2 linked regions of the Neodiprion lecontei genome follow. The protein of the gene in region 2 purifies or fractionates together with the protein of the main gene of each other region. This does not show direct contact. Links are inferred from orthologs where the notes say so. Each region holds a gene or a part of one and is shown on either strand. Other genes may lie near its edges.

Region 1 (6,317 bases), about 41 Mb from region 2:
GGAGACGATCTCACAGTGACTAATCCCATCCGGTGAGTTATCTCAAATATATCTTCGGCTTCTCAACATAAACTTTGTGTTTATTTCAATAAAATTCGTGACGAGTTTTTTTTTTTTTTGCTTATTCACTAATCAAATTTTTTTTCTTAGCATCCAGAAGGCTGTCGACTCCAAAGCCTGCAACTGTTTGCTGCTGAAGGTCAACCAAATTGGTAGTGTTACCGAATCTATCAATGCTCACAAGCTAGCGAAGAGCAACGGATGGGGAACCATGGTGTCTCATCGATCGGGAGAAACTGAGGACACCTTCATTGCTGATCTAGTAGTTGGTCTTTCTACCGGCCAGATTAAAACCGGAGCCCCATGCCGCTCGGAGCGTCTTGCAAAGTACAACCAGATTCTTCGTATTGAAGAGGAGCTTGGAGCTGCTGCGAAATATGCTGGAGAGAAATTCCGCAACCCCACCGCCTAAATTTAGCTCGCTAAATTTTTGAAAGAAGTACTATCACAATTTTATCGTACCGTTATTGAGAATGGTCTGCCTTTTCATGTGGAAATATGAACAGAACGATAATGCGTGGTTATAATTTGAAATCAGTTACCTAATCTCGCAAGGCAAGCATTCCCCTGTAATGTTAGATTCGATGAAAAATTATATTCCTGCTCTTAATGTACTAGTCTGCTGTGTATTATCGGCGAAAAATTTTCCTTTTCCATGGATCAGCATACGCTCATTACTCAGTTTTAACAAAATTCTCATTTTATCCATCCCATTACTGTAGATTCTTATTTAATAAATATATTAATGTAAATGTATTACAAAATATAATACCGTGTTATTCAGTGAGCTAAAGTATTTAGGGGCTAGAAGATGATTGGTCGATGAAGCTGATCTAACAATAATCGTTGTGAATTTACGTGAGTAATTATTTCGTGAAACTATAATGTAAAGTGATACTATACATTTTCGCAATTAACGAGTAAATAACGTTAATCATTTAAATTTGTTGTATTGTCTTCTTTCTCGCATCCTTTACACCTCTGATCCAAATTTTATACAACAGTTTTGTGAAGTATAACACATCTAACAAAATTATCAAAATATTGCTATTTTATAGAATTGTAAGAGGTTACAGCTTAAAAAATGAATATTAAGCTCGATCTGGATTGTTCATTTAGTATGAAACAATTTTAAACCTCACACTTAGGTTCAATGAACTCTTACTCATTCTGAAATTCACACTGACAATCGCGAGCACTGGAAGAACCGGACTGGTCTAAGATACTTCGAACATACCGACTGCTAGTAGAAGATTTCTTCGCGAAAAGTGGAGGGTGAGAACGGGTGAATTTTTTGTCGGAAAAGTTCGTAGGAGGTAGGTCTCGACGCATGTTTTGACGTCAGGATTATGCGAGACGTTAACGTCCTCCAAGCTCATTTCTTCAGCAAGTTTGGTAAAGTCCCAAAGCTTCAGTGTCGAATCGAGGGATCCTGACACTAAGATATTACCGTCTCTACTGAAGAACAAGCAATGTACTGTGGCTGTATGGCTGGATAAGGCTGCGACCAAATGTCCGTGCGCTAAATCCCAAATCAGGACTCTGTTATCGGCACCCGCAGTCGCCAGGAAGCGACCTTCCGCGGAAAATGCTAGGGAATATATCGGACCTTTGTGGCCGGTCATCAACCGCACCTGACCTCCAGTAACACAGTCCCACAGTCTGACTGTCCGGTCGCTGGATCCCGTAGCAACGTAATTTGAATTTGGATGGAATTGTACGACCTAAGGATGGAAAGGACAACAAGGAGTTAGATTCGCATTGTACGAAAATTAATTAAATGCAACTTACATCGACATCTGAGTAATGCCCGGAAAAAATTCGGAGAGGCTGATGAGCGTCAGTTGCCCAGAGTCTTGCAGTCTTGTCGTGGGAACCTGTCGCGAAATAGTAACCATGTGGTGAGAATCTCACTGACCAAACAGGGAACAGGTGACCCTTGTAGCAAACAACACAGGTCCACGTATGAAGAGACCATAGCCTTACTGGAACCGAGAAGAGAAATGTCAGGTTGAGCAAATTGTTGAGCAAACTAAGAAAAGATGATACTTTTTCGTAGAATATTTAAGACAATTATCACCAATATTTATACATTGATAAAAACTGAACCTTGATGTTCACTGTGTCATGCTCACCTGTGGTGTCCTCTGATGAAGATAGTAGTAAATTTCTGTCTGGGCTAAACGACAAACTATAAATAGGTCCGCTGTGTCCATATAGGGTTCTCGACGATTCAGCTGTCCTGTCGTCCATCATTCTCACAAGTACATCGTCTTAAGAGAATTATTCAGATTAAAGATAACAGCAAAAACATTAACTTAGAAAAGCCAGAGGCAGATTTTTTTGAAAGGAGAAAGAGTCGCGAGTACCAGCTTCGCGGTCGATGTCTTGTAATTGATCCCCACTTTTCATCAGTCTTAATTTTTGTGGAACCAGGCTCCATACTTTTACTGCGGAATCACTGAAGCCAATGGCCAGCAAACTGGAATCTTCTGCGACTTCTGCAGCAGTAACGCTGCAATTATATGAGCGAAAGTGTCATTGAATCATCGATATGATTTAAAATATTTAATATAAGTCGTACCTGTGTACTGAATTCAATAAAGTATAGAAGCATATTGACGGAAGACTGTCTGGCCCCAATACCACTCTCTTTGAAGCCTCTCTCAATGCTTTAACCTTCTCCAGTTTATCAGCATCTTTCCTAAATACGATCAATCTTTTTAAGCAGCGATACAAAGTCAAATCGATTAGAATCAACAAAGTGCAAAAATAAACTAACAAATTTGGTAGGGGCATTCTTCCGACCGGAGGTGCATTAGGGTCTGATTTAGTTTTCTTAGAAAAGAGTGGATCTTTTTTTGCTTTCTTTTTCTTTGGTTTATCTCCTCCCTCCCCACCGCCATCGTCTTCTTCTTCCTCAGCCGGCGGGACGCACTGAATATCTGGTTCCTTTAAAAGCCCATAATAGACTTTAGCCTTGTTATCTATGGAATTGAAAGGAATCCTTGAAGTTGAAGATCAGATATTTGAACAAATTTAAGACATAGACCATTGATTGCTTTCAAATTATACCTTGCCGCGTAGCTTCCCCCACAACAGCGCCTGACGTTGCTTCAATCTGTTGCTTGTTCCGAGCGACACCTTCGTACATATCAAAGTAAAGATGCTCTTGAATAATATTGAGCAAAATGCTATGTTTTTTCTCTTGAAGATGCCGCTTGAGTATGGAAAGCGTGTCTCGGGACATCCTTATAATAAACTGGTTAGACCTGTAAGAAAGTAATCGTCATTTTCTGTCACAAATTTACCTGTACAGCTTACTTTTCTTATCAACCCCATAGCTCTGATCCTCACTTGAAAGTATCCGTCAGCTCATTACCAGCAATCTGTTCCCGTTTTGTGACATTTGACAATCGCTTCAGATCCTCCTGGTAATATTCCTCCAAATTACCACTGAACTTCTCCAGCAGCTGTTTTGCTTCTCCTGAATGGTTGTTGTAAACAAGTTCCAGGTACATGTGAACCAATACCGGATACAATATTGTGCCAAGTTCATGCTACAGAAAGCGAAAGTAAATGTAAGATAAGGTCGGACAAAAATGCACAAAGAATTGATCGCTTATCGCAAACCTTGTAAATATCCAGAGCTCCTTCGACGAATTTCTTAAGTTCGGTATAGGCTTTCTCATACAGCGCTGGATCACCCTCGCTTTTGTAAGCTGATAGTACGCTGCTAACTTCAGAATCAGTTTGTTGACTATCCTCAGCTGAAACATCCGTCAAGTTTGCTTCCTTTCTAAATAACTCCTCGGTACCCTGGGGAGAAAGCCGAAGCGTATTTTAATCTGACGGTACAGTTTTGTTTACATGTCATATTTGCAATTTGAGGTTAAGTCAACGCTTACCTTTAAATTGTATTTCCGTAACAGCTGCAATACTGCAAGCATTGTGCTTTTCTCGTTGTCCATGGTTGCAGGTTTTTTTTCCCGTCTGCACCGCGTCTGTGATTTAAATTTTGATCCGAGGAATCGAAATCGTCAGACGCGAACGAGGATGCTAGCTATCCGGAGACACGATCAATTTCGCCGCCCCATTTGTCTAGCGCATGTGACACGCAACATGCTGACGATGCTGACCAGTCAGATATATGGTGACTCCGAAACATGCCCCTTGAATAAAATACACCCTCAACTTAGCTGCGTGTCTGGTTGCCGCTTCCATCATAAGCAGGCGTAGGAAACTGCCCGACTTGTAAAAGGACGTTTCCACGCCAGTCCGACATACAGTATCTAGATTTTGAATGTATGGAGTGGTAGTAGTAGGTCATCGTCTGCCAGGGATAGCAACATACCATTAACAATTTTTCATAGAGAATAGAAATAAATCCAATAAAATTACAATCAAACGGGAACAATTATAAGTAAATAATCAGAATTTATAAATGCACAAGTCTTACACGAATTACAACTTAGAATTACCTGTGCAAGAAAGCTCAGCAATATTATTCTGCCTTAGACTTTTTTACAATTGATGAGAATGTCACGTTCTAACATATTTTGTACATATGTTGTACAAATTTCTGAATTCACATAGCAAATGATGTATTGAAATTCTTATGCCTAACACATATTTGAGAAACAATTAATCCACGTAATGATCTACAGAAGTCATCTGTACATCTTTCTATTAATTTTTCGATATCGAGCCATGCTGGAGCATTTATATTCCGAAACTTGTATTATAGAAAAATTTTCAATTTATCAAGACGCGAAGCAGTTATCATGGAGTTCTTTATACATAGCGAGAATGAAAATAAAAATTCTAGATAAAGCGATGAAAACATAGCATGTATATTATTTCTGAACTTCGGAAAGTATGTCAGAGGCAGATCTCGTCAGATGAAAATAATACACAACTCAATGCTCGAAATCCTCGGATCATTCCCTACGAATAGTTTCCTAGGTGCAAGAATATTAAACTGCACAAAGAACATCGATTTTGATCGCAAGCCATCCTTATACCGTAATTGAGATTAATCGCTTATGGTAGAAGCACGTGAACTAAGCGGCGGTGGGGTGGGGCGGAGGGGGGGGGGGGGAGGAGGGGGAAAGATCTGAAAGAACCTACGATCAGATTGGGAGGGAATACCCGGCGTCCTTTAGTTTTTAGTTTAAAAGCGGCTGCGTGAGCGCATTGACCACCAGTTTTATCTATAATTCGGTCCGCGCACTTCTCTCAGTTTTCCCTCACCATGAGTCGGTTTGCTAATTACAAATCGATCATTGTGGTCTTGAGTACAATCGGCTCTCTGGCGATTGGAACTCCCATCAAACTTTCCGAAGAAGCAATTTCCACCACACCAAGTAAGGGTGAGATTATTTGGTTCCGACTTGTTTTTAGTATCCATCTTTGCGCTGAACGAAAATATATTGAACGCGGAAAATGAAATAGATAATGGTACAATTCGTCCGGCTAGAGTTACACAAATAGGAAATTCAACGCGTTTGGGAATTCCCCTGAAAATTAGATGCATTCGTCGTGCGCATCTCATGGCCGTACACGGAAGAAAATTTATTCAGCGTTAACTATTTTCCTTGTCATCTGATGCCTGAAAATTTCAATCAGTAGTTTCTAGTATGTTCCTGCATGGTCTCAATAGTTGGATGGTACAGTATTCTATTTTTATGCACTGCTATTAAAATATATTTCTAAAGCAAAACAAAAACATTAATCGCGTAGTATAGCACGAAGTCCCGCTGCACTTAACAACCTGATTCAAACGTTCCTCTTTATCAGTAATTCATTCCGATTACTCCATTGATAAGAATTTTCAACAGATTTAGGATAATTGATTGAATCGCGTTGTTTTTATGATCTCACCTGATTCACGCGAAAGGTTATCGTTAGAGGATTAATACTGGCACAAAAAAAATCCTTTGATTATCAGGCCTTATCCATGTTTGAAAATTGCGGTTTGATATCAGTAGCGTACTTCACGGCATCTTTTAAGAACAGTGCCTTGGCACGACTTTTTTATCTTCGACAATCGAGCAGAAGTTTTTGTAATTAACGCGATGCAGGTATGAAGATCGTTTACTGTAAACAGTGTTACTTTCAAGTTGTAGTGCGAAGTTTTTCTTCGAGATTTTGTGAAGTTTCTCGTATCGTAATCAATCGCGTCAAGTCAATGAAATTCACGATTAATAGTTTCAAACTCGTTTAGCAGGCATCAGGTGTAAGTTTAGAACGAGTCG
Region 2 (4,663 bases):
TTTTCAATAGTAGGAAGGCAAAATTTGCAATTTAAAAACTTCTGTCAAAAAAATATCCTGAATAGTACAAAATGATAATAAAGTGATACAATATATGCAGTGTGATGCATACCTTGCGATACAGAGAAAAACATTCGAGTGACATCTATCGTAAATTCTAAATCAAATCATATGTCCAACGAAAATTAGTTAAAAATGATATCAAATATTACGTCGATGAGAATAAAACATTGCCGGAGGAAAGAAAACGGTTACCAAGAATCATTCCACGTATTTCTTGTAACAAATTGACAATTGAATTTACAGTAAAATATAAATCCAACTTGGACTTGTAACACTTTCCAACAAAGATATGCACGGTATATTGCGCTTCTAAGAAAAAAGGACAAAAAATGAAAGGAAAAACCACTATTCCAATCAACTAAAGTCAATAAAACAGTGCAAATCTACAACGCCACTACATCAAGAGACTCTTACGAGTTATGAGTGTGCGTCACCTGAATGGGTTTTCTTAACGTGGCGAGTGGCGGGCCAGTGAACTGAGTGTTCAGCCTACTTACAGCCGGCACAGAGGTTAGGCGATAAGTTGTGCCTGCGGTCGGAGCAACCACTGCGCTTCCGGCAATACTGTTCGGGGTGACATTCCCTCCCCCAGGGGTACCTGTGGGTGGCGCCGGTCCTACCCTCAGCAATTGGTATTGCCCATTCTCAGTTTTCAAAAGCAGATGTCCCTGGGTTCCAGGTTGAAGACCTTGGAGGGCCTGCAGTGTTATCTGAAATGCCAAATTCCCAAATGTTAAATCGGTTTCATCAAAATCTGGTAGTTTCATTGACAGTGAATGCGTTAACAATCGATCGCTGCTAGGAATAAACTGGCCATTTGTTTCCGCAAACTGAGAACCTTGAATTTGAAGATTATAACAGGAGAAGATTCGGTAGTTTGCAACTTTTGCACATGTATTTTACTTAAAATATAGTTTGAAATCGTCATCGGATGAAAAAATCAATTCTGCATAGCTGAAACCCTAGATAACAAAAATTGTAACATGTTATTCAAACTTATAATGATTTTTTCTTTTTGAATAGCCGATAAACTGAATCTGCGTTTGAGATCATAAAATGGAAATTGTTAAAAAAAAATGAAAATAATAACGATATTGCGCACATCAAAAATGATTCACTGTAAACATGCAGAAATCGGCGCTGACACTTGGTTTGCTCGCTTGAGCAAGAATGAATGGGCGAAACTGTTTCAAGGTTATTGTAAAATAGAAAATAAAAAGACAGTTCTGTGATTGACAAATAAGTCTTGAAAAACACGAGATACATAAAATACCAGTCACTTTTGATATTCTGCAAGGTTATTGGAGGGATTGCAGAAAAGTTGATACCGAAATATTGGCAAGAGCAAATGAATGCGAAAATGATGAATGAAAATGTCGTTAAAAAAGCATCTTACCCCGGGTGCACCAGGTCTGGCACCGACCATGTGTTGTCCAATGACGACCCTCGAGGCAACTTGCTTGCCCTGCTGTTGTCCAGCGACAGGAGTACCGGGCCTCATTGTGTTTACGTTTAAAATTTGGACATTGCTAGGTACTATGGTAGAAGTGACGCCAGCCTTCCCTTGCAGGGTGGTGCTGGTGGCATTCCCAGCCACTGAAACGGGAACGGACATTGGGACGGAAACCATTCCCCCAGGTGTGGCGCTAGTCTTTATAACCAAGGCAGTGCCACCCCCCTGCTGCTTGTTGACATTAGCCGAGGACTGGCTGTTGGCCTGTGTTATAGAGCCGATGTTGTGAGCAAGGCCGGAGGTAGTCTGAAGCACAGTCTGCGTGGTCACCCCTAGACTGCCGTTGGGTAAATGGCCAACTGTTTGGGTGGGGAATGACAGCCTGTTGTTAACGTTAACCACACCTGTGGTGGATATGGTCTGTCCCTGTGAGGGATACACCAGTTTGACAGACTGCTGGTGCTGCTGCTGTTGCTGATGTTGCTGCTGCTGCTGCTGTTGTTGGTGATCGTGTGTTTTGGTTATATTAGTAATGTTCGTTTGTTGATTGGTTGTGACTTGGTTTATGTAGGCAGCAGCGGGAATTCCTGACTGTGGATGCTGTTGCGATGTTGTATGCGCTATCGTGTTCGAGGTGACGACGTTCACCGGCAACAGGGTGCTGGTCGTGATTGACTTGCTCGGGTCCTGGGATATCAGGTTGTTCATCGAAGTAGCACCGCCGTTAGCAACCCCATGTTTCAGTCCCGCGGAGATGATGGTACCCCCGTTTGAAATCCCACTGTTTAACTGACGGTTTTGATTAACCGAACCGGAGTTCACTTGGTGGGTTGAGATCGGCGGCGTTGATGTGACCAACTGCGTCTCGAGCGAACCGACGATCGCGTTTACTGCGGATTCATCGACGTCCGTACTAAGAGCTTCCTCCAGAAACTTAGCTGACGCCATTTTCTTTCAAGCTCCAACTGTAAACTGAACTGCGCATGCGCCTACAGAAAATTATTCCCATCGTGCATTGCCCCTAGCGCAGCTGGAAATTGAATACATCATATCTTCTGTTTACCATCGGGCAGTACACGCGCAAATCGATATTATTCCCCATAGTATCCTCGTACTGTTTACTTCTTGTTTTTTCCTCGCTACTTCTTTATACCGGCTATTTCGACGCTACTCATTTTACGCGTTACGTAACGCAGTGAACGCCTACTAGCCTTGCGTTAATGCCTTTCCCTCCTTTACACCTTCTTTTGATATGGCTGCATGTCAATGAGTAGAACACCAAAACACGTCACCCGCCAAAATGGCCAGCTCGGAAATAGTCAACCAATAAGTCATTTCAAACTCATTTCTGGTCCCGATTAGTTTAAGATTCGCGTAGTCGATTTCGTTCTCGTTTTTTCTTTTTCAATTTCTTTCGTTTAGTTCTTCTCTTATTATTTCCAGATAACATTCAACACAAGTATTTGTTGATGATTCGATAAACAGAAATACAATTGACCATAAACTAACTCATCACACGAGACTGGACACTCGTAAGTTTATACAAATGATTTAGCTTTGTGCGTTCACAAAGTCATTTCAACGCCGCAGTTGCTGTCCCATCGATACAGGAGGGTTTCTATTATTACTGCGACGTAAAGCCACGGCCATGCGAATCCACCTTTATTATGCCCGGTAAAACAGCTGCACTTTCGAATGTTGCAATTTCGAAACGCCAACTCAAAACTTGGACTGTTATAGCTATTACAACAAGCTTTGTTTGAATGATTTGCTCTCGAGATATTTTATATTATAATATCTATGTTACAATCATCCGATTTCTACATACGACAAATTTTATTAAATATTTCGATAAATTAAAACGTATCAAATCACTATTGAAAACTATTACAAATAACAACTATACAAAACAATATCTTTATTAAAAATCATTTCCAGTCAAGGAACAACAATATTTTCATATCAACGATACTAATTCATGAAAATTCTGTGTATACTTGATATTTTAAATTTACTCGAAACACTAGTAGTGGCATTAATGTGGGACACTGTACAAGGCTTTCGTTTTGAAAAAGACCCCTCATTGAGGAGAAAATGAGATTTGATATGCAACACGACTTGTAATACATGATAAAAAAGTACTAGTAGCAAAATGCTGTATACACTTACATTACCCAAAAAATTGGCATGAAATAAATAAGATATGTAAGACGAAATAAAAATGAAGTACCTATTGAGAGTTCCCAGTAAAAATTCACCATACCAAAGAAATGAAAAATAAATGAGTATACTGCTACCCTTGCACATATTGGAATCTCATCGATCCGAAGAATGTCAGGGTGTGGGGGACCAATGTGGATACGTTTTTATAACATTGTATAGCGCGTCACCAGGGCTGAGAGTTCTGGAAACCTGTCGATGACCTAAAAGCTTATAATTTCTTGCAATCCTCCCAGTCGTGACACCGAGGTCTACAAGTTGTTGAAGTGCGTGCAGCTGATGTTTCGATGGGGTGACGGTATTATACGTCCCAATGAAAGAGATTCCGATACTTCTGGCATTGTAATCGTACGAATGAGCCCCAACGTAGTCCCAGTTACGGCCAATGTATACGTAACCATCCCCGCCAATCAGAAAGTTGTAGGCAATGTCGCACCAATTTCGAGATTCTATGTGATAACATTGTACTAATCGGACTCGATACACACATGACGATTGCGTGTGGCAAAAATCAGTTGCAGTATGGCTGATGATCACGTAGGGGACTGGATGCTTCAACCTTGCCGCGGGTTCCACTGGTGGCTGTGCGCCCCATTCATCTCGTGTAACAAATCTAATCATCGTGCCCAACGGGAGGCCTACGAAAATTGAAATAACATTAAAAACAGAATTTTTAATTAATGTAAAATGATTTCACGAGGCATTTATAACGTTGGGATATGTTCATAACTTCATTCAATATGCGAAAATTTTGTTCGTTACCATTAATGTCTACCGATGAGTCGGGAATTTTTGTAACAGTGGAGATTGATGGCATATTTAAATCTTGCGAGTATAATGCCATATTGACAACCACCGCAGCGACGACGCAGGATCCCATAGCACACATCAGAGCTATGGATCGCCACGATAAAAGGAAAGACCACC

The links. Proteins that work in one complex are often made in the same cells at the same time.
Region 1: the proteins of transcription initiation factor TFIID subunit 4 (region 2) and transcription initiation factor TFIID subunit 5 purify together in Drosophila melanogaster (affinity purification with western blotting; 3 studies listed by BioGRID). This does not show direct contact. The link is inferred for Neodiprion lecontei from reciprocal best matches to the Drosophila melanogaster genes Taf4 and Taf5.

Annotation. Positions count from the first base shown.
Region 1 is NC_060261.1:43,189,879-43,196,195, reverse strand, and holds transcription initiation factor TFIID subunit 5, read right to left. Parts: upstream 4,396-6,317; 5' UTR 4,032-4,395; coding exon 3,969-4,031; intron 3,880-3,968; coding exon 3,694-3,879; intron 3,621-3,693; coding exon 3,418-3,620; intron 3,333-3,417; coding exon 3,136-3,332; intron 3,048-3,135; coding exon 2,843-3,047; intron 2,765-2,842; coding exon 2,645-2,764; intron 2,576-2,644; coding exon 2,430-2,575; intron 2,334-2,429; coding exon 2,196-2,333; intron 2,046-2,195; coding exon 1,852-2,045; intron 1,785-1,851; coding exon 1,278-1,784; 3' UTR 503-1,277; downstream 1-502. Other genes in the region: enolase, read left to right, coding at 1-32, 151-472; peptidoglycan-recognition protein SC2, read left to right, coding at 5,315-5,432. UniProt on the Drosophila melanogaster protein: TFIID is a multimeric protein complex that plays a central role in mediating promoter responses to various activators and repressors. May play a role in helping to anchor Taf4 within the TFIID complex.
Region 2 is NC_060261.1:2,569,411-2,574,073, forward strand, and holds the start of transcription initiation factor TFIID subunit 4, read right to left. Parts: upstream 3,027-4,663; 5' UTR 2,465-3,026; coding exon 1,460-2,464; intron 774-1,459; coding exon 498-773; intron 1-497. Other genes in the region: uncharacterized protein LOC107216688, read right to left, coding at 3,851-4,374, 4,499-4,663. UniProt on the Drosophila melanogaster protein: TFIID is a multimeric protein complex that plays a central role in mediating promoter responses to various activators and repressors.